4 linked regions of the Drosophila melanogaster genome follow. The protein of the gene in region 2 interacts with the protein of the main gene of each other region in a pairwise test. Each region holds a gene or a part of one and is shown on either strand. Other genes may lie near its edges.

Region 1 (5,359 bases), about 12 Mb from region 2:
GCTTTTTGTCTATGCCGAGGTCACGCGAGCGAGATCTTGACTTTCGGTTTCTCCTGGTGTTGGATTCGCGCACGTTACGCTTGGGTGAAACCGACAATTCCTCCTTTTCATCATAAAAGCTGTTGTGCGCCCGTCTACGGCCGTTGGAAGCCTTCTCCCGGAGGTACGACTCCTCATCGGAGAGCGAGATATCGGAGAGATCTTGTTCCTGCCGTGACTTTGTGCTCGCTGATTCAGATCCTTTCAAGCGATCCGCTTCACGTTGCCCGTTGTAAAAGCTATTGTTGGAGCGGACGCGTTCCCTTTCATGCTCCTTTTCCCGTTCCCTTTCTCGTTCCCAGTCGCGATGCTTCTCCCTTTCATGTCGTTCGCGCTTTTCGGAATGACTGGAAGGCTCCACAGCGCTGCGCTTCCGGCTCTCAGACTTTTCTTTCTCCTTCTCGGAGGGAGCTTGTGCTGCCGTAAACTTATCTTTGGATTTGTCCCTATCCCTGTCCCTGTCCCGATCCTTCTCCTTTGATTTGTCCGTAACGCGGTCCCGATCTTTCTCCTTAGATTTGTCCCGGTCCCGATCCTTCTCCTTGTCTTTGACTCTGATGTCTTTATGTTTGTGCTTCTTACGTTTATGCTTGTGCTTGCCTTCCGCCTCCGAGTCGCTGCATTCGCCATCTGACTTGGTCGTCTTCTTTTTCTTGGCCTTCTTATCCTTCTTCTCCTTTTTCACCTTTTTCTTTTTCTTGAACAGATTGTCGTCTAGAAGTTCCTCTGGTGGAGCGGCATTGAATACGCCGAACAGCTCGGCAAGGATCTCGTTCGAGGACTTTACAGGCTTAATGTTCTTCTTGTCGTCCGCCGACGCGGAGCTCTCGCTCTCCCCCGACTCGTCATTGTTGCCCAGTTCATTGCTGTTGCTCCTCCGCATCAAAGTCACCATCTCCGCCTTGATCTTGGCATTCATGGCCCGGAGTTTGGCCTCCACCTCTGCGTCCGGTCGTTCGCTCTTTACCTTAATTGGCGGAATCTTGGTCAGTGCAAGTGGCTCCTGAACCGGAGGATTTGTCTGAGACCCCGCCACTTGAGGCGTTTCTACGCTCGCCCCTTTCTCTGTGTTCTCCGTCATTGCTCTCTCGCTGGGCGCGGATCGTCCTAGTGTCTATGCATGCTAATAGATTACCGCAACAGATCAGCGAATTTGTCGCTGTTCGCGATTAAGCGTTTTTCTGCACGTCTTGCTTGGACAGAAGTTTCAATAATAGCGATGACACTCGTAATGGTATCTACAGTTCGCAGGGCTCAAAGATATCGATACTTTGCTAGAGTTGTGTAATAGTACCGTCACGACAAGCGCCTGCTTGAAAAAACCTAAATAATAAGAATTGCTATAATGCTTTTTAAGACAAATGAAATATTTCCTAAATAATGTTCAACTGGTTCATAAGCTTACAACTCCAACTGAGTAAACTTAAAATTTCTAAATTTAAAAAATAAGTCGACATAAATTCAGATCTGACGATTGGTGCTTCAATCGACCCTGCCTATAAGTGGGCAGTCCCGAATTGCCAACCGCAGCCAACTTCACTCACGTCGTTGTCACTGATTGCAATTTTAATAAAAAGGAAAGAATTTTATCACTTTTAAAAGACGTAGAAAGTGTATGTGTCGTGGGAGAAACCCGATTTACTTGCTAAAAACGTAAGTATCCTCTACCGAGGACCAAGAGAAACACTTTTTTCGCCCGTTGCATTGCTAATTTTCATGTATTTTTTCGCCATTTCCTTTTTTCAATGCCTGCGCCATCGTGTTATGCTGCAACTGTGTTGGTCGATTCTACGTTATTTTTTCGTGGATGTGCGCTGGTGTGGGTGCGAATAATTTTTCCCATTGGCTGGTGTGCAATTGAAACAAATTATTAATTGTTCATCGAATACGCTAGGAGGCGTACGTCGCCAACATCGCATTCAATAGTTTTTAAAAACTCACTTTTTAACAGCCAATCGAAAAAGCAAACCCTTATACAAGGAAATCAGACAAAATGACGTCTATGGAGCAAAATCGTTTACAAAACTTCAAAAACAAAGGGAAAGACCAGGATGTGAGTAGTTAGAAGTTACCGCTGAAATGGGAAACATTATAATATTAATTAATTTGCAGGAAATGCGACGTCGGAGAAATGAAGTCACCGTTGAGCTGAGGAAGAACAAGCGCGAAGAGACCATTCTCAAGCGTCGCAATGTGCCCAATTTGGACTCGAACACAGATGAGGAGGAGCAGTTGTCCTCGTCCATTGACCTGAAGAAGCTGGCAAAGGCAGCCGCAGACGCCACCAAGCCGGAACAGCAACTGGCCGCTGTTCAGGCTGCCCGCAAGCTGCTGTCGTCGGACAAGAATCCACCCATCAACGATCTGATCCAAAGCGACATTCTGCCCATCCTGGTGGAGTGCCTCAAACAACACAATCACACAATGCTCCAGTTCGAGGCCGCCTGGGCCCTGACCAACATTGCCTCTGGCACATCGGCTCAGACCAACGAGGTACGTTCAGCTTTCCCTCTCAGCACTTTCTTTGTTTTAATGCAATATAATCCTGTATAGGTTGTTGCCGCCGGTGCCGTGCCGCTCTTCCTTCAACTTCTCAACTCGCCCGCTCCCAATGTTTGCGAACAAGCCGTGTGGGCCCTGGGCAACATCATAGGCGATGGTCCTTTGCTCCGCGATTTTGTCATTAAGCACGGAGTCGTGCAGCCACTTTTGTCGTTCATCAAGCCAGACATCCCCATCACATTCTTGCGCAATGTAACATGGGTTATTGTGAATTTGTGCCGCAACAAGGATCCGGCTCCCCCGACAGCCACCATTCATGAGATCCTGCCCGCACTCAATGTGCTCATTCATCACACCGACACGAACATCCTGGTGGACACGGTCTGGGCCATCAGCTATTTGACTGACGGTGGCAACGATCAGATCCAGATGGTCATTGAAAGTGGAGTTGTACCCAAGCTGATACCACTGCTGGGCAACAGCGAGGTCAAGGTACAGACAGCCGCACTGCGGGCTGTTGGCAATATTGTGACTGGATCGGATGAGCAGACACAGGTTGTGCTCAACTACGACGCGCTCTCCTACTTCCCGGGCCTGCTCTCGCATCCCAAGGAGAAGATCCGAAAGGAGGCGGTTTGGTTCCTTTCCAATATAACCGCTGGAAATCAATCGCAGGTGCAGGCCGTTATTAACGTGGGTCTCCTGCCCAAAATTATCGAGAACCTAAGCAAGGGCGAGTTCCAGACACAGAAGGAGGCTGCCTGGGCCATCAGCAATCTGACCATTAGCGGCAACCGCGAACAGGTCTTCACCTTGATCAAGGAGGGCGTCATTCCGCCATTCTGTGACCTCCTTTCATGCCAGGATACGCAAGTTATAAATGTAAGTATAATTTGCGTCTCTTCACATATTTGTTTTGAGTAACACATTCCCCTTTTTTTTAAAGGTTGTTTTGGATGGTCTGAACAATATGTTAAAAGTGGCCGATTCTCATGTTGAGGCGGTGGCCAACTGCATTGAGGAATGCGAGGGCCTGGCCAAGATCGAGCGTCTGCAGAGCCACGAAAACGTTGAAATCTACAAACTAGCTTATGAGATCATCGATCAATACTTCACTGATGAGGTGAGCTAACAGTTTAAGTCAACCGTTTGTTATTATTCTAAAACGTTTTTGATGCATCCTTTACAGGGCGAACAGACTAACATGGCACCGACCTCCGACGGCGCACAATACAATTTCGATCCACACGCCGATAGGCTAACGATGAACTCATTTAACTTTTAACGATTTAATCAGAAAGCAGCCGCGCAGTAGCAGTGAAGTGAAAACCAAACACGTGCAACACCACATAATTTGGCGTTTATTCGTACACAATCGCTTGTGTATGAACAAGCCCGACGAGCCGTCAACCAATTCACATAATAATAGCATTATATTTTGTCCACCACACAGCAGCAATTAGACAGCCGGGTTCGTTTTAGGGACGAGAATAGGAACTCTGGAGGATACACAACGGATAATCCGCTGCAGCCGTTTTAGCTTCTCTCAATTCTGTGTTAACAAAATTACAAAATTCAGACATACACACACTCTTGGGTGTGTGAATGTGCAATGCAAGGACTTCTCCGATTGAAGCGACTCTGCTATAGATCATCCAAAATATAAACACAGGAATGAGAAACAGATTTCAAAAAGAATGTAGACCTATTTGATTTATATGAAATTATTTAAATATTTACGCTTCTGATTTGTAATTGAAATTACATATGTATACATTTCTAACATGAAAACGATAAAAGCAAAAGGCAACTCATCATTTTGTTTCCAGGCAGATAAGTTAAGCGGAATTTTATAAGAACAAGTGTGTCGCGTTTCAAGACCAGGCATTCGAGTTGTCCGTCGGCCGAGCTGTTAATAATTAGCGTTTATTTCAGCTAGTGCGTCACTTGAGCACGTTTCCCATTAATGCGCAATTGCCCGTCTACCTGGCAGGGCAGCTGAAAAATCGGCTTTCACATGGCAACAGATCGAGTAAATATTTGTAAACAATCAGATCGAAAATCGAATTCGGATTGCAACAGAAGGGACTGGGCGTTTCCCTCAATTGAGGGATCAAATTGTATTAATGACTTATCTGCAAAGCATCAGTTTCGCTAGTGTTCTGTATACAGTATAGGATACTTTAAATCAGTTAGATTTAGTTGAGTGATGTGATGTATGTTTTACTTTTAAATCTTGAGGAGTGTGGGAATAAATAGCTCTTCATTTTACTTTTACATATTCGTTCTTTCATATAAAGAAAGTTTCGCCTGGCGGTTGTTTTTGGAACTACTCAGAATATTTACGTGTAACTTACCCATCATCTACATGGGCTTCTATAATTATTTATAGGACATTCCGAATTCTGTGATGAAAGTTAACTTTATGAAAGTGGTTCCAGCTCGTGCAGTACAAATCTTTTACTGAAATTTACCTAATTTTTCGAAAATAGTATACTTTGACTTATATATGCAGGCGGGACAACGTTTACCAACACTAGAATTTGAGATGGCAGATTGTCTAGCTGTAGTACCCCAGCTGTTGCGGTGCTAAAATTATTTTTATAATTGTGTAATTGTATGTGTTTTAATACGTCATTTCCTGTGAGATTTAATAAATATAAGATTTAGATATTAATTTTTTTGTATTAGTGAAAAATGGCGCATCACTGTTGTCGCGTGACTCCTAAAAAACTTGCATTTGCCTGCTATTTATAGAGATGCTGCACTTGTATTGGTAGCGATGCATTCGATTCAGACACATTTGCTTCCGTCAACA
Region 2 (7,258 bases):
CTTTTTGTTTTTTAAGTATTTTTAAGAATACTCCAGATCAAGATAATTCTTTGATACAAAATAAACTTTAGAAAAATATGAAATACATTTAAGCAAGCAATGTAATTATACTGGAATAAGAATTGCAACCCACTTTATATTCTGATTTAATATAGTTACATAATAACATAGTATAATATTAAACCAATTGTAAACTGAATTATTCATTGATTCTTTTTCTTCTCTTTTCATTTCAGTATCATCTTGCACTTGTTAACGATTATTTCTTGTTGTTTTTATATTTGTTGCTGTTGTTAAATGTTTAGCCAAAACTATGGAAACCATACACGGAGAAAAATTCCTTAAAACATAAAAAAAAAACATAATAAATTGTTGTGCCATGTCTGTGGCTTGAAATAAAAATGAAAACCATATAGAAATGAATAACACACCCCATAGCTAAAGAAAATACCTCAAGGATCCTAAATAACTGCCCTCCTTTATCTTATTTTATCTGCTTTGCTTAACTGCCCTCCTTTATCTTATTTTATCTGCTTTGCTGTACATTCTGGTAGACTGACATTTTAATATCCTTTCTATAGTTCCTCTCGATCACCCTATCCTAAAACAGTATTTTCCATATTTTCTCATCTTCCGAAATCTTTCCTCACCAACACACCCGAAAATAATTGTAAAATATAACGACTGCAAGTGCAGAAATTCTAAATATTTACTATTAAATTGTAAATATGTACGAATTTTTGCTTATAACAATTAAACAGCAAATATAGTCATAAATATATGTATTCATGTAATATGTAAGTCTGTTTTGTGTATGTGTGTATATATATAAACCATGATTTTGCATTGATAATTATATAGGGTATGAAATCACCTTTCAAATCCACACAAATTTTAATCGAAATTGCTGTATATTGTATTTAAAGTATAATATTATATATATCTTATAAGCCTAATATTATGCATGATAAATAAAATACGATTAAAACCAAACAAACTATTGTCTTTTAATTTGGGAATAAAAACATATGACAAGCACATTAAAAGGGGATCTTCATGGAGCAACTGCTAATGGAAAAGTTTTTCTTTTTGTGATCCACTGCAATTAAAAAGCTGAAGCTCGAAAATGTAAAATCTAAAAGAACGCCCTTTAAATGGTGATCATTGTTCTTTCTTACTTGGTGAATTCATTTCAATTATCAGGTCGGATTTCCCGCCAAAATATAGCAGTCATTTTAAATCGCTGTAACTGTTATGTTAACTATTCGTGTTAACTGTAATCGATCATTTGTGCTTACAGATTAGACGCTAACAGTGCCCAGAGCTAACATAACGCGCTGCCACCTATCGATATATTACCACTCAGAAATTCATAAAATAGAGATGTTACTTAATAATAAAATTGCAATTTGGGATTAAGTTATTGTATGGCTTTTATTTTTTTTAATTTCCTTACATTCTTCCTCTTCTTAACGACACTATCGATATTACATTGCAAAAGTCCGGCAGCGCTTTATGTATCGTAGCTCTGTTATCGATATGTTCCCGCCATTCCCGCTTTGATCATCCTCCAGCCCTGGTCACAAAACAATTTTTGCAAACTGCAGCACAACACGGGGAAATTATTATCAAAGTTAGCCAGTTGCAATGTCTGAATCACCGTGTAAGTTAATAAGATAACTCCCTTAAACATATTTTTTACCGAAATTATAAATTTCCAGCTGAACCGCGCGCTAAGCGCCAGAGAGTAGACAAAAATGGTAGGTTCGCCGCCATGGAGCGACTGCGTCAGCTGAAGGGAACCAAGAACAAATGCAAAGTGGAGGACCAGGTGGACGATGTATACGATGTGGTTGATGAGCGGGAGTACGCGAAGAGGGCGCAGGAAAAGTACGGTGACGATTGGATCGAAGAGGGTAAGTTGGAACTCTGAACTCTATACTTTATAATACTAAATTTTAACTTTTAGATGGTACTGGTTATGCAGAAGATCTTCGGGATTTCTTCGAGGACGAAGATGAGTACTCCGATGGGGAGGAGGATCGGAAGGACTCGAAGAAGAAGAAGGGTGTTGCCCCCAACAGCAAAAAGAGACCACGGGAGAATGAAAAACCAGTAACAGGAAAAGCATCCATCAAGAATCTATTCAGCAATGCAGTGCCCAAAAAGATGGATGTAAAGACCAGTGTGAAAGACGATGATATCCTTGCTGATATTTTGGGCGAAATAAAGGAAGAGCCTGCAGCGACGTCAGAAAAGGCGGAAAAGGTTATAGCCCCAGCGAAAATATCAGTTACGTCGCGTAAATTCGATGCCGCCGCTGCCAAGGAATACATGAATAGTTTTCTAAACAACATCAAAGTTCAGGAGCAGGAACGTAAGAAAGCGGAGGCCAGTAGCGATAACGAGATGCTGGAGCGCATTCTGAAGCCCAAGGCAGCAGTTCCAAACACAAAGGTGGCCTTTTTCTCCAGTCCTACAATCAAAAAAGAGCCCATGCCTGAAAAGACACCTGCAAAAAAAGCCACCGAAGATCCATTCTCCGACAATGAAATGGACTTTAGCTGTCTGGATGACGATGAAAACCAGTTTGATGTGGAGAAGACACAGCAGACCGAGAAGGTTTCCCAAACGAAAACAGCAGCTGAGAAAACATCCCAAAGCAAAGTCGCCGAAAAATCAGCTCCCAAAAAAGAAACAACTGGATCGCCAAAGGAATCGGAATCGGAGGACATTAGTAGGTTGCTGAACAATTGGGAGTCTATATGCCAAATGGACGATGATTTTGAAAAGTCCGTGCTCACCACGGAGCAGGATTCGACAATCTCCTCAGATCAACAGCTTCGGTTCTGGTACTGGGAGGCCTATGAGGATCCAGTAAAAATGCCCGGCGAAGTCTTCCTGTTCGGTCGGACCGCAGATGGAAAGTCCGTCTGTCTGCGTGTACAGAACATCAACCGTGTGCTCTATCTGCTGCCCCGACAATTTGTGAGTATTATTCTACAAATACTTAGTCCTTAGGTGAAGTGTTGTTTCTGAATATATTCTTTTAGCTCTTAGATCCCATTTCGAAGGAGCCCACCAAGCAGAAGGTGACCGTCGCAGACATATACAAGGAGTTCGACAGCGAGGTGGCAAACCAACTGAAGCTCGAGTTCTTTCGATCCCGCAAGGTCACCAAGAGTTTTGCCCATCACGCTATCGGTATTGAAGTTCCGCAATCTTGCGATTACTTGGAGGTTCACTACGATGGAAAGAAACCACTGCCCAATTTGTCGGCTGACAAGAAATACAATTCTATAGCACACATATTCGGCGCCACCACCAATGCACTCGAAAGATTCCTCTTAGATCGGAAAATCAAAGGTCCCTGTTGGCTGCAGGTGACTGGATTCAAGGTGAGCCCAACTCCCATGAGTTGGTGTAACACCGAGGTCACATTGACAGAGCCCAAGAATGTAGAGTTGGTGCAAGATAAGGGAAAGCCAGCGCCACCACCTCCACTTACGCTACTATCGCTTAATGTTCGCACCTCAATGAATCCGAAAACATCGAGAAACGAGATATGCATGATTTCCATGCTGACCCACAATCGTTTCCATATCGACCGCCCTGCTCCACAGCCCGCTTTCAATCGACATATGTGCGCTTTGACTCGCCCGGCGGTGGTTAGTTGGCCTTTAGATTTGAACTTTGAGATGGCAAAATATAAGTCTACCACAGTGCACAAACATGACTCAGAGAGAGCCCTGTTGAGTTGGTTCTTAGCTCAGTACCAGAAAATAGATGCAGATCTCATTGTAACCTTCGATTCCATGGATTGTCAACTAAATGTAATAACCGATCAAATTGTAGCCCTGAAGATTCCCCAATGGTCTCGAATGGGGCGACTGAGGCTGAGCCAATCGTTTGGCAAGCGATTGCTGGAACATTTCGTCGGCAGAATGGTTTGTGATGTAAAGCGATCTGCAGAGGAGTGTATAAGAGCAAGATCCTATGATCTGCAAACGCTATGCAAACAAGTACTGAAGCTTAAGGAATCGGAGAGAATGGAAGTGAATGCCGATGATCTGCTAGAGATGTATGAGAAAGGAGAAAGCATTACCAAGCTCATATCGCTCACCATGCAGGACAATTCATATTTACTAAGGCTGATGTGTGAGCTCAACATCATGCCGTTGGCGCTACAAATCACTAATATCTGCGGCAATACCATGACCAGGACCCTTCAAGGAGGTCGTTCTGAACGAAATGAGTTCTTGTTGCTGCATGCCTTCCACGAGAAGAATTACATAGTGCCGGACAAGAAGCCGGTTTCTAAACGAAGTGGTGCAGGAGATACGGATGCTACGCTTTCAGGTGCAGATGCGACGATGCAAACCAAAAAGAAGGCAGCCTATGCTGGTGGCTTAGTGTTGGAGCCCATGCGTGGTCTCTACGAGAAGTACGTTCTCCTCATGGACTTTAACTCCCTGTACCCCAGTATAATACAGGAGTACAACATATGCTTCACCACCGTCCAACAGCCGGTGGATGCAGATGAGTTGCCCACCCTACCCGACTCGAAAACGGAACCTGGAATCTTACCCCTTCAATTGAAACGCTTGGTGGAGTCGCGAAAAGAGGTGAAAAAGCTAATGGCAGCGCCTGATCTTTCGCCGGAACTCCAGATGCAGTACCACATTCGGCAGATGGCCCTGAAGCTAACTGCGAACTCCATGTATGGTTGCTTGGGTTTCGCCCACTCCCGGTTCTTTGCCCAGCACTTGGCTGCTTTGGTCACCCACAAGGGCAGAGAAATCCTCACGAACACACAACAACTCGTGCAAAAGATGAACTATGACGTTGTTTATGGAGACACAGATTCCCTGATGATAAATACCAACATAACCGACTACGACCAGGTCTACAAGATTGGTCACAATATTAAGCAGAGTGTAAATAAACTATACAAGCAGCTGGAATTGGATATCGATGGAGTATTTGGCTGTTTGCTCTTGCTGAAGAAAAAGAAGTATGCCGCTATCAAGTTGAGCAAGGATTCCAAGGGAAACCTGAGGCGTGAACAGGAGCACAAGGGCCTGGATATAGTACGTCGCGATTGGTCTCAGCTGGCTGTAATGGTGGGAAAAGCCGTTCTCGATGAAGTGCTGTCGGAAAAGCCTTTGGAGGAGAAACTGGATGCAGTGCATGCCCAACTGGAGAAGATCAAAACTCAAATTGCAGAGGGTGTAGTACCGCTGCCACTGTTTGTCATCACCAAACAGTTAACTCGGACTCCCCAGGAATATGCCAATAGTGCTTCATTGCCCCACGTCCAGGTGGCCCTTCGTATGAATCGCGAGCGTAATAGGCGGTACAAAAAGGGCGATATGGTGGACTATGTGATCTGTTTGGATGGGACAACAAATGCTGCCATGCAGCGAGCATACCATTTGGATGAGCTCAAGACCAGTGAGGATAAGAAGCTGCAGCTGGACACGAATTACTACCTGGGACACCAGATCCATCCGGTAGTCACGCGAATGGTGGAGGTGCTGGAGGGAACCGATGCGAGTCGCATCGCCGAGTGTCTGGGCATGGACCCAACCAAGTTCCGTCAGAATGCGCAGAGGTACTTACTATCTTATTACTCCTTACAAACTCTAACCTAACGAATATTTTGGTTATGTAGAACCCAGCGAGAGAACACCGAGCAGTCGGAGGGTGAGTCCCTGCTCAAGACGACTCTGCAGTTGTATCGCCTGTGCGAACCGTTCCGCTTCCAGTGCGTTACCTGTAAGACGGAGCAGCTGATGGCGTCTGCGTACCGACCGGGTCCAAGCAACTCCCACATAGCCGTACTCCAGCAATGCGCTAAGTCCGAGTGCCAAACGGCACCGATTCAGTACCTGGCAAGCGTGCGCAATCAGCTGCAGCTTTCCATGCGGCAGTATGTGCAACGGTTCTATAAAAATTGGCTGGTCTGCGATCACCCGGATTGCAACTTCAACACCCGCACACACTCCTTGAGGAAGAAATCCCACCGCCCGCTGTGCCAAAAGTGCAGGAGCGGCAGCCTGCTGCGTCAGTATACGGAGCGGGACCTGTACAATCAGCTGTGCTACCTGCGATTCATGTTCGACCTCGGCAAGCAAACGCTGCAGCAAAAACGTAAGTAAATACAATGTAGTTATAAGCAGTATCAAAAACTAAAACAATAGTTTGTGTATAAGAACAAAATGAAGAATGTGGAGTACGAGAGAGAAATATCGACACTAAATAACAAGACACATGAAAGGAAAAATCAGTCGAAATATTTTATAGTTCCCGTGATCTCGACGGATTTCAGTAGTTCTTTATGCTTGTATCCTTGAATTCTTAAAAATTGTTGTAGTTTATATATTAGTTCTGACACCTAATACATATATTTCCCTTAAGATTGGTATCATTAAGTTTTACAGCATTTCATATTGAAATTATATTTTGTCCATATTATCAAGCCACCCTCACACCGGAGCTGGAGCAGGCCTATCAACTCCTATACGAAACGGTGGATCAGCAGTTGCAGAGCTCCTCCTACGTGATCATCTCGCTAAGCAAGCTCTTTGCCCGATCCCTGGCTCAGATGTCCCTGCAACCGTCCGTGGCGCAGCCCCAGATCGAAGCAATTCCGAGTGCTTTGGCGGATGTGGTCTAAGTGTTTAATTAACTAGCCTTTGTTATAAGTTCCATTAAAAATACTACAAAAGAGATACAGAGATACAGTATGGTTAACTAGATGAGGTCACGTGGCGAGGAACTTCTCGAGCGGAAAGTGCCGGAAGGACTCGTTGAATATATCCGTAAATGCCGTGCTAACCAACTCGTTAATCATCGGCTTGATGAAGGGCAATCCCAGCTGCCACATGCTGTTGATGACTCCATCGGCCAGTTGGTTGAGGGGCTGTCCCTGCAGCAAGTTCTCAATGTGCAGCTCCATTCCGCCGATGCGGTCCACCTCCACATGGACCTTGATGAGTGAGCCCGGACCGCCGATGCGCCTAACGCTGGTGGTTTGACTGAGGAAGTAAATAAAGTGAGCGATAGGTTGTCATGTAAGCCAAAAGCTATCAACAATACTGGTGTTTGCAACACAGCTTGGGAAATACATATTTCCATGCAACTCGGTGCCCACCTGTAATCGTAGAGGGTGAGGTTCCAGTGGCCTTTTCTGTTCATCTCAGTACCCAGCATCTTGGCGGCGAACTCGTACTCGCCCTCCAGACTTTTGTCGGGG
Region 3 (3,677 bases), on a different chromosome or scaffold from region 2:
CCCGCTGCCAGGAGACGGAAACCTGTGGCATTGCTGCTGGCTCCACTTGACTGCAACTCCAGCTTTCCAGCCACCTACTTGCATAATCGAAAGCGGATGAGGTGCAGCGATTTGGCCGAAAATTTAAGGTTCGATCAACGGCCGTCGAGGGGGTGGGGTGAACGGTACATTTTGTTGGTATACTCATGAAAACGAAACGAAAGCTGCCTGGTCGGTCTCCGGTATGTACAGTGGGACTCTGAAGTGTTGACACAGCTGTTCTAATTTGTGCTTATCTATTGACCTTTCCAAAGCCCTATATTTTAATTTTCCGAATTCTCATCCTATTCAATATTAAAATAAAATCCATAGTTTCGTCTAAAGAACTGAGCAACTTATTTATTTTACTAATAAATACGTATTTATAACCCGTGCCAAACTGTTTTCTGCCACTGTATGCTGTATGCATGTATACGTGTGTGAGCAGCGCACATCGCAGTCGCAGTGTACGAAAATAAACGCTGGCGCAAGCAGAATGGCTGCGGAGCGAGCGAGACAACTACTGCGACGCGACGGCAAAGTACAGCAACTTCAAAAATATCGACTGAGCACAGTCTGCACACCGACAGAGCAAGCAGGGCCGCAGTCCGAGCGCCCGAAAGGGGCGCTCATTTTAGAGCAGATCTTTACAGATAGAAATTAACCTAGGTTTAATTACTAATGAACTGTATTCTAAATGCAACCATATAAATGCAGTAAAAAAAGTTCGCATAAAATGCAATTTATGAGCGGTGCAGCCCGCGCCCACCCTCACACGTATAGATCCCCCCCTGCCATTTCCTAACCATCAGCCAGCTACTGCGCCGCGTCGCCGTTCACTTTTGCGTCGTTTTCTGTCGTCGTCGTCGACTGACTTGTCCCGCCCCTTCGACCTGCGCCCGCACAGAATTAATCAATTGGCTGGGGCTGGTTGGGGCACGGACCGAAGACGGCTGACAGAAAGCAGAAAACCCGTAGCCAAAACCAGCCGAATTTCACTTACCAGGCACACCGAGCGTTTCGGCGATTTGTTTCCAGGTCTGGGCCTTGCGCACAAAGTGCTTGTAATTGTAGTGCGACCTGTCGTATATCACTGGGTTCAGCTTGACAGCCTCGATGAGATTGAGATCAAACTGCTGCTCAAGATTGGCATCCAGCTTGTCCATCTCAATGGCCGCCGTGAGGGTATGCACTGAGGGGACAAGACGGGGAAACAAGAGTTACAAATTTAGCGGGGACGAGACGGACGTGGACTGGGTCGGATCCCAGTTCCAAACTGGGCACACGGGCTCCCGCAGCCGACGACACTCACTTTGCTTCTTACGTTTGCTAATTGTTGTTAAGTATTTGGCGCGAACGCACGCTCTGTTTGTTTTTATTTTGATTGGTTTCTTCTACGAGGAAGGAACGTCGACGTTTTAATTTTATTTCTCAGTCGCGTCTCTGCCAACGGTAACGGTACGTCCCAGCTCAGTCGCGTCTCTGCCAATTAGGGGTGGGAAAACGCCGATGAAGGGGTCATCAGCGCATCGATAATTTTAAAACTCTCATACAATAACAATATGTTATGGCGACTATCGATGTTTCTGATATATCACAACAGCTGCGTAAAGCGTCAAAAGGCTTAAAGTTTTACCATGTTAAGATTTAAGATGTTAAGATCATAATTCGTTCCGAGTTTAGCTCGTTTAAAGAAGGAAGCGTACGACTATCGATAGACGGAGGGCCACCCTTATTTTAGAGGCGCCACCTTTAGGAAATGTGCGGCACCTTTGGCCAGTTGGTATATTGTAACGGTTCGTCTGCGGTCACACTGTTTCTGATTAGACCAAATGAAACAAATGGCGGCACAAAAAGCCTGGACGGATGAGGAGCGTCTGGAGCTGGCGGCCCAGCTGGACGCGGAACTGGATGCGTTTATCGATGGCCTGGAGAAGAAACGTTACGAGGAGGGCTGGCCGGAGGACCGCTGGCAGGAGGAGATGGACAAGCACCCGTTCTTCATGAAACGTGCTCCTCAGCCAGGGGATGACGTGCATCCGATGTTCGAGGGTCTGCAGAAGCTCAAGTACGATCCGGAGGAGAACACGCGCGACGAGCTGGCGCTCAACTACAAGGAGGATGGCAACTTTTACATGAAGCACAAGAAGTTCCGCATGGCAATCTACAGCTTTACCGAGGGCATCAAGACCAAGACGGACAATCCCGACGTGCTAGCCGTTCTCTACAACAACCGCTCGGCGGCTCACTTCTTCATCAAGAACTACAGATCCTCGCTGAGCGACGCCCAGCGAGCTCTGTTCTACAAGCCAGACTACACAAAGGCCCGCTGGCGGTCGGCACAGTGTGCGTACGAGCTGGAGAGGTTCGATCTGTGCACCCAGATGTGCGAGGAGCTGCTCGAGGTGGACGTCGACAACGAGGTGGCCATCGCGCTGCTGCACAAGAACAAGATGAAGAAGGTTAGAATACGTGATCCAACTGGATAGGAACCCACATTAAACAAGTTATTTCCGTAGCTCGAGATAGAACGCAATCAGCGCAAGGAAGCTGCCGAGGCAAAGCGACGGCTTACACGCTTCCACAGACTCCGCGACGCCATCGAGCAGCGCGCCATTAAGTTTGACGATCAAAAAGTTGGCAAAAAGGACGTCCTCAGTGAGGAGCTCCTTTATCCAAAGTTTCTGCCTTTGGAGGACCATCCGGTGCACCTAGACGAGGACGGCAGCACTCTGATCTGGCCGGCTGCGTTCTCCTACCCCGAGTTCCTGTACAGCGACTTTTATCAGCAGCTGCCGGAGACCACCACCATGCGGGATTGCCTGGCGACGCTGCTCACCGAAAAGCTGCCATACGACAAGGCACACAACTACCGCCTGGGTAACGTGCACGTTTACTACGAGAACCGCAAGGTGGGCTGTGTCCACAAGGTGGACGAGGAGAAGCAGCTGGCCGAGATAATCGCCGAAAAGGGGTTTTTCGTTTCCGGTGGCGCTCTGCTCTTCTATGTGGTGCACAAGGATTCGCGAGTGGAACAGGAGTTTATAAACGAACGGCGACGACCCATGGTTTACAGTTAAGACAGTGAGCAAATAAAGTGATTCCTTCTTGAAAACAAACAAACACCTTTTCATTTGCTTGTAAAGTTTACTTCATTTTTGTGGCATATTTTATTTGTAAGCTTATGGTTTAGTCACGGTACAGTTCAGCATTGGTTATGCTATCTTGAAGCATTTTATTGTAAGTTTAACTAATCTCTGATATGTTATGCGAAGCCGAAAAGCGTAGTTCAGGCTACGCCGCCAAAAAATATCTGATGCGGCGTAAGCCCATTTTGGTAGACGATTAATCATCTGTAGAATTGAAAATTGTTTAGCTAAATTTAGTTTTTCTTTAACAACAAGGCGCCTAAATGAGTCAACAATGTGGTTTTTGGTTTAATACGTATAAAAGCGTTTTTGTAAATTTTCATAATTGAGCATATTCTTAGACATTCATCGTTGGTTCACAACAGTAGTAATACTAGGGGACCCCCCAAGTGGATCCGGATATGGTTCGTTAAAATACATTTGACAAAGCAGGATGACCATACATATAAGGCTTAATACTAAGTGCATCGTGGGAAAGCGTATTATATACTCGGATAACATAATAATCAA
Region 4 (6,505 bases), 7.4 Mb from region 2:
TTTAAGCCTTTTGCCTTTTGCCTTTTGCCACCCACTTTCGGATTTTGCCCGGGAAAAGTGGTAGTTTTCCAATCAGCAAATGCATTCAGTTTGAGCAGCCAGCTGTCGTTGGTACAAGGGGCGGTGGCGGCAGCTGGGGGCGTGGCCACATGTGGGCGCTAACTGCCAAGTTGAAACAATTGGGTGCTAATAATCCCCGGTTAATCTGGGTAAGTGTGTGTTTCTGGAGGGCATTGAAGCAAGGATTCTGGAGGAAAACGCAGACACATCACGCATCCTTTGGCATCAATCCTTAATGGCTATCTAACAACGATATAAAAGCCCGTCGAGGAGCATCAATAGTTCAGACGCAGTTGTGATTCGAACGCGAAAGGAACCAACCGAGATTACCGAGTGTCCTGCAAACAGGACTAACTTCTGCCGAAACATGTTGCGCCTCCTGCTGCTGCCCCTCTTCCTCTTCACGCTCTCCATGTGCATGGGCCAGACCTTCCAGTACTCCCGCGGATGGACCAACGGCAAGAGGTCCTTTAACGCCGCATCTCCCCTCCTGGCCAACGGCCATCTCCATCGGGCCAGCGAGCTGGGACTCACGGATCTCTACGATTTGCAGGATTGGAGCAGCGATCGTAGGCTCGAGCGGTAAGTTTCATCGAAAGAATAACAGAAATATACAACTTTATTTTTAAAATACATAAAGAATATGATAACCCAAAAACATTCCATTAGATACCTATTAAAATCATATAACTAAGGAATTATATATTATAATTGCCCTACTTATACACTTCATTCCTACTTATTTTCTTGTTTTTTATGTATTAAAGTAATATTTTAAAATTTTCCTCCAGCTGTCTATCGCAGCTCCAACGTTCACTGATTGCCAGAAACTGTGTCCCCGGTTCGGACTTCAATGCCAACCGAGTAGATCCGGATCCCGAAAACAGCGCCCATCCCAGACTGAGCAACTCTAATGGCGAGAATGTTTTGTACTCAAGTGCCAATATCCCCAACAGACATCGCCAGTCCAACGAACTCCTAGAAGAGCTGAGTGCCGCTGGAGGAGCATCCGCCGAACCCAATGTGTTTGGAAAACATTAGCCACTATCCGTTCAATGTGAAATCTATTGTAAACTAGCAAAAAATGCTACAAAAATGTAAAAAAAATTGTTGTAAACGGTTAATAAAACACAGGATTTTTATGAATTACTTAACTGTCTTTTTTTAATATCCAAGAAGAGTATTTTAAATATTTAAATAGTGTAAATAATAGAGTTGTTTCAGATACCATTTACATGAGGTCATTAGAAAATGTATGTAATAAATCCAAAACCTTCGTCTTTTTCTAATGGTACCATTAGACCACTTAGATATAAATAATTCATATTTAGTCAAATTGATTTAACATATCTTTTTCAACTTAATACTTTAGTACTGCCCAACACAGCTTTAAAACATGCTGAAAATATGAAAATATACTGAATTTGGTATTACAAAATGAGGCCGCATACACGAGAGGTGAAAGCAGATGCGCAATCTGGTAACACTAACCGACGCAAAAAAGAAAGAACCAAAAAAGTTTGCGGAAAAGTGCAACAATTAATTTCCCCCGCCATTGAAATGCTGCCATGCATAAAGTCGATCGCATCCGTTTAAAAATGCGCTTCTGCGTATGACGACAGTTTTCCGAGCGAGGTGCATTGCGGGGACTCACATTATTTTCCCTCTTTTTTTCCCTTCTTTTGGTCTTCTTCCTCTTTCGCTCGCTTCGCACAACAACAATAACGACTACGTTTTTTCAGTGGCGAAAACTGTACGCAAGAGGGGCGAGTAGAGGAGAAAAGTGCATGGCAGAGAGCGAGAGTAAGAGAGGTAGAAAAGGAGGAAAAAAAAACACACATGTAATGTGCAATTGTTTTATGAGTTCTACGTTAATTTTGTTGTTTGTTTTTTTTCGGTTACCTTCAGGTAATTGCAGTTTGGTTTTTCCGCGTGTGCGTGTGAGAGGTAAAACGCGTGTCCAGAAAAAAACGCGCCAACGCCAAAAAAAAACCCAAGTAACTACCGCCCACACAGCGATCACGCGCCCCCAACCCATTTTAAATGATAATGGTGCGAAGACGACAACGGCCCGCCAAGGAAGCCGCATCCTCATCCTCTGGTGGAGCTTCCTCGGGATCGGGAATTCCTGTTGACCAGGCACTGCCACTGAATGTGGCGGGAAATCTGCTGGAGGATCAGTATTTTGCCAGCCCCAAGCGGAAAGACTGCCGTTTGATGAAGGTCACTCAAAATGGCCAACTGCCGGAAGCCACAATGATGGCACACAACAAAGACAACAAAGCGGGTCGCACAATAGGTGAGTACGCTTCTCGTACTTTTTAGGTTAGCTGTGTTGGCTAAAATACCCCTTGTTTGTTATTTTTCAAGGAGTTCCCTTGGCCACGCGCTCACAAACTCGCACCATTGAGAACTTCTTCAAAGCCAATGCTGCCGCTAAGGATTCCCAAAAGACAATACACACAGAGGAGCAGTTGAATCTAGGAAATCAGGAACTGAAACTGGACGATGAGGAGCTAAATGGACAGATAAAACTAGATGACGAGGTGCTAAAGCTGGCAGACAAGCAGATAAATGAAAACCTTCCCTTTGCCGACGAAGTAGATGCCAAGGCAGAACAAAAGCTTATGGATGAGGAACTGCAGCAGGTGGTGGAGGAACTTCTGTTCGATGGCAGTTCCAGAGCGTCCTCCAATTCGCCCTTTTATCAGCATGATATGGATGTCATGCAGGAGATCCAGCAGACTCCAGAAATTCCACACATCAAAAAGGTCACAGAGCCGCTCGAGGGACTGGGCTCTCTGGCCGACTTCCAGACACATCGCTCTGCGCTGAGGGACAGCCACAGTTCCACGCACAGCAGCAGCACCGACAACATCTTCCTGCAGGAGCCGGTACTGACCCTGGACATTGATCGCACGCCCACCAAAGCCTCCAGCATAAAGATCAATCGGAGCTTCGAACTGGCCGGAGCCGTATTCTCATCACCTCCGTCGGTGCTAAACGCCTGTCTCAATGGACGCTTCAATCAAATAGTAAGCCTGAATGGACAAAAGGAGGCGCTGGACTTGCCGCACTTCGATTTGGATCAACATGACAGTAGTTCTTGCGACAGCGGAGTAGCCTGTGGTCTCACTGCCAATACAGAATCGCCAGCGGGGCAACCCCGACGCAGAAAACCAGCCACACCGCATCGCATCCTCTGCCCCTCGCCAATCAAAACGGCTTTGAAGGTAACTGGAGGGATTTGCAAGGTCGGATCTGCGGATCCATTGTCGCCGCGCAAGTCTCCTCGAAAACTGCCGACCACAACAGCAGCGGTGGCAGCCTGCAAGTCGCGTCGAAGACTGAACCAGCCAAAGCCACAAGCGCCTTACCAGCCACAGCTACAGAAACCACCGTCACAACAGCAGCAGCAGCAGCAGGATGATATCGTCGTGGTGCTAGACGACGACGATGATGAAGGAGATGACGAGGACGACGTTCGAGCCCTGATCAAGGCTGCCGAGGAGCGTGAAAACCAGAACAAAGCACCAGCCACAGCGAACAGCAACAAAGCAGGCATGAAAACGATGCTCAAGCCTGCGCCCGTGAAATCAAAGACCAAAAGCAAGGGGCCAACGAAGGGACAACCGCCGCTGCCCTTGGCTGCCACCAACGGCAATCGTGAGATGACGGACTTCTTCCCGGTGCGAAGGAGTGTGCGCAAGACTAAGACGGCCGTCAAGGAGGAATGGATGCGAGGCTTGGAGCAAGCAGTGCTGGAAGAGCGCTGCGATGGTCTCCAAGTACGCCACTTTATGGGCAAGGGAAGAGGCGTAGTCGCCGATCGGCCCTTTAAACGCAACGAATTTGTGGTTGAGTATGTGGGAGATCTCATATCTATAGGCGAAGCCGCGGAACGGGAGAAACGCTATGCGTTGGACGAGAATGCTGGGTGCTATATGTACTACTTCAAGCACAAGTCCCAGCAGTACTGCATCGATGCAACCGTTGACACCGGCAAGCTGGGGCGCCTCATCAATCACTCGCGGGCTGGTAACCTAATGACCAAAGTAGTACTTATCAAACAGCGGCCGCATCTCGTACTCCTGGCCAAGGACGACATCGAGCCGGGCGAGGAACTGACCTATGACTACGGGGACCGATCGAAGGAGTCACTATTGCACCATCCTTGGTTGGCCTTCTGAGGAAGAGCTCTCCAGGAGCTCGCGAAAGGGGTTGCGGTACAGCCTTAAAACGAAGACTATTTACCATGTTCAGGGCAGAGAATCTTTAAAATAATAAGACCTGGGCTAAACTGGTTTTTGGCTCGAGGGAATCTTTCTTAGCTTTTATACGTAGATTGCCTTGCCTTGAACCACTGCAAAATTGTTTTCAGACCTGTTTCCGTGTGATAAGTTGCCGGAATTTGATTCATTTACAAAGTTTCATTAAGCAAAATTATATCAATATTGCAAGCACTTATATTTTTGGTAAGACCAATTCAATCATTACGAATTCCGGCAATTTGGATCGGAATGGAGAGAGGCGTATTTGACACCGGTTCTGGGCAGCCCCGAGCTTAGATCTTATTTGAGGAAAAGTATATAAACTGTTAGTTCAAAATATCATAACGGATAGCGAAACCCACACGCCCCACACCCAAGGGTGGTTCCAGCCAGGGACGAAAAGTAATCAATGTAAATTCTAACAAGTTTGCCTCAGAAATAGGTCTAATGTCAATTTCGATCTTCGGCGTTACCAAAATAAGTTACAAATGAAGTTAATATTTCCCTTTGGGTCAGTGAAATAATCGAAATTATCAATTAAGAACAAATTTATCAAAAAGACCTAGACTATACAGATTGTAAATTGATATTAGACCCATGATCCCCAAAGCAAAATGCCTTTAAATTGTACGATTACGATTCAATCCCTATAAGACTCATTATCGATCCACCCGTGATCCAAGCAACCCCCCCCTCCCCCTCCCTCCTTACACAAACTCATGAGCATCTTTTTGGATTTGTTAGCGTTTCATTATGTTTAGAGCAAGGCTAAAGTTAAGGAGAGATAATAATGATAATAATAATAATAAAAACAACGCGCTTAAGCATTAAGGCATCTTAAGATAATTGAATGAAATCGAAAAACTGTTGACCATTTGAAAAGAGATGATGATGTTGATGAAGCCACGCATTCACATTGACAAGAATCGATTGTACACTATTTATATAGATATTTATATTAGATACATGTGTAATTTCTAACTATTACGTACTATTTACTGCCATAGAGCTATACACTCCCCCTCGCACCTGTCCCAAAAAAAAAAAAAAAACCCCTAGGAACTGACACTACTGAATTGTTGATTTAACCCATTGACACACTCATTAATTCTCGAGGCTTCTCCAGGAGAGTAGTGGCCTGCTGGACACCTAGTGCTTCGACTTACTGATAATCTCTCTACTTACACGCAGGTTTCAATCACACACTCAAGCAATTAAATGATAAATCACCCCGCCCCTGCCCCCGAAAATACGGCATCGTTAGTTAATCGACTTAGTTCAAATTTGTGTTGTCCCATTTGAACCAGATTTCTGTATTTTAAATGAATGCTCCAATATATTGAAGGATTTTGTTTTTTTAAATAGGTTTATTTTAATCAGCGCATATCTTTTAATTATACAATATGGTAAATATATTTTAATACGTTCTAGTACATAGGTAATTCATTTATTTAAAACCAAGCAGCAACCATCTATAATCATGTTCTTGTTTTTACCTTTTTTTTTCATTGACTTGGCAAAATGAAACAAAACAAATTGAAATCTATTTGTAATTTACATTTAAGCCTAAAAACATATGATTACATCAAACACTTAGTTTTAGTCGATAATTGTTTATAATTTTTCAGACACACACACACACAGACACATTCAACTTAAAGTGCGTAACATAAAGTAAAATAAATAAATGAAAACACATTAACACGAACAAAACAATAATCAAGAACTGGAGCGGATTGGGTTTCGTTTTCCAGCGATTACCTGGAGATCATCATGGCAACCAGTCACACTCATTTACACTTGGAATGCATGGGAGTTCTTCTATCAACTAACAAATCCTATTTCATATACAACACGTTAACTATGTTTGCTTGGTTAGTTCGCTTTCCTGTCGCTTGTTATAAGTACACAATATAGAAAAAATTCGCATCAGGCGGGTTGGGTTTTCATCCATGTGGTGGTGGTGGCCCGCAATCGCATTGGAGTATTTGTTATGGATATACAAAAGGGGAAGTTCGCCGCTAGTGGAATGCATTTGTAGGCTTTGCCGCAGGGATTAACTGATGATATTCCTCAGATAGGCGGAGTTTTCCGATTTAGGGTTCTAACTTTGGGGTTGATTAAAGCTAAAATCATCATGGAACTAATAGTTTTACATTTTTAAAAGTAATGCC

What was found.
Region 1: the proteins of PolA1 (region 2) and Kap-alpha3 interact in a two-hybrid assay, tested with the Drosophila melanogaster proteins (one study listed by BioGRID).
Region 3: the proteins of PolA1 (region 2) and Dpit47 interact in a two-hybrid assay, tested with the Drosophila melanogaster proteins (one study listed by BioGRID).
Region 4: the proteins of PolA1 (region 2) and Set8 interact in a two-hybrid assay, tested with the Drosophila melanogaster proteins (one study listed by BioGRID).

The regions. Positions count from the first base shown.
Region 1 is NT_033777.3:9,573,941-9,579,299, reverse strand, and holds Kap-alpha3 (karyopherin alpha3), read left to right. Parts: upstream 1-1,566; 5' UTR 1,567-1,652; exon of another isoform or gene 1,653-1,692; intron 1,693-1,826; exon of another isoform or gene 1,827-1,990; 5' UTR 1,991-2,032; coding exon 2,033-2,092; intron 2,093-2,151; coding exon 2,152-2,532; intron 2,533-2,592; coding exon 2,593-3,423; intron 3,424-3,487; coding exon 3,488-3,664; intron 3,665-3,730; coding exon 3,731-3,826; 3' UTR 3,827-4,816; downstream 4,817-5,359. Other genes in the region: Son RNA binding protein, read right to left, coding at 1-1,120.
Region 2 is NT_033777.3:21,666,035-21,673,292, reverse strand, and holds PolA1 (DNA polymerase alpha subunit 1), read left to right. Parts: upstream 1-1,542; 5' UTR 1,543-1,647; coding exon 1,648-1,663; intron 1,664-1,721; coding exon 1,722-1,916; intron 1,917-1,969; coding exon 1,970-2,988; intron 2,989-3,053; coding exon 3,054-5,614; intron 5,615-5,674; coding exon 5,675-6,153; intron 6,154-6,482; coding exon 6,483-6,679; 3' UTR 6,680-6,731; downstream 6,732-7,258. Other genes in the region: Jhbp16 (juvenile hormone binding protein 16), read right to left, coding at 6,767-7,040, 7,157-7,258. UniProt on the Drosophila melanogaster protein: Catalytic subunit of the DNA polymerase alpha complex (also known as the alpha DNA polymerase-primase complex) which plays an essential role in the initiation of DNA synthesis.
Region 3 is NT_033778.4:6,660,102-6,663,778, reverse strand, and holds Dpit47 (DNA polymerase interacting tpr containing protein of 47kD), read left to right. Parts: upstream 1-1,660; 5' UTR 1,661-1,850; coding exon 1,851-2,480; intron 2,481-2,537; coding exon 2,538-3,098; 3' UTR 3,099-3,134; downstream 3,135-3,677. Other genes in the region: Adf1 (Adh transcription factor 1), read right to left, coding at 1,022-1,210, 1,331-1,331. UniProt on the Drosophila melanogaster protein: May act as a co-chaperone for HSP83.
Region 4 is NT_033777.3:14,314,509-14,321,013, forward strand, and holds Set8 (SET domain containing 8), read left to right. Parts: upstream 1-1,529; 5' UTR 1,530-1,695; intron 1,696-1,802; 5' UTR 1,803-1,872; intron 1,873-1,968; 5' UTR 1,969-2,103; coding exon 2,104-2,359; intron 2,360-2,430; coding exon 2,431-4,250; 3' UTR 4,251-5,986; downstream 5,987-6,505. Other genes in the region: Crz (corazonin), read left to right, coding at 428-642, 852-1,101. UniProt on the Drosophila melanogaster protein: Histone methyltransferase that specifically monomethylates 'Lys-20' of histone H4. H4 'Lys-20' monomethylation is enriched during mitosis and represents a specific tag for epigenetic transcriptional repression.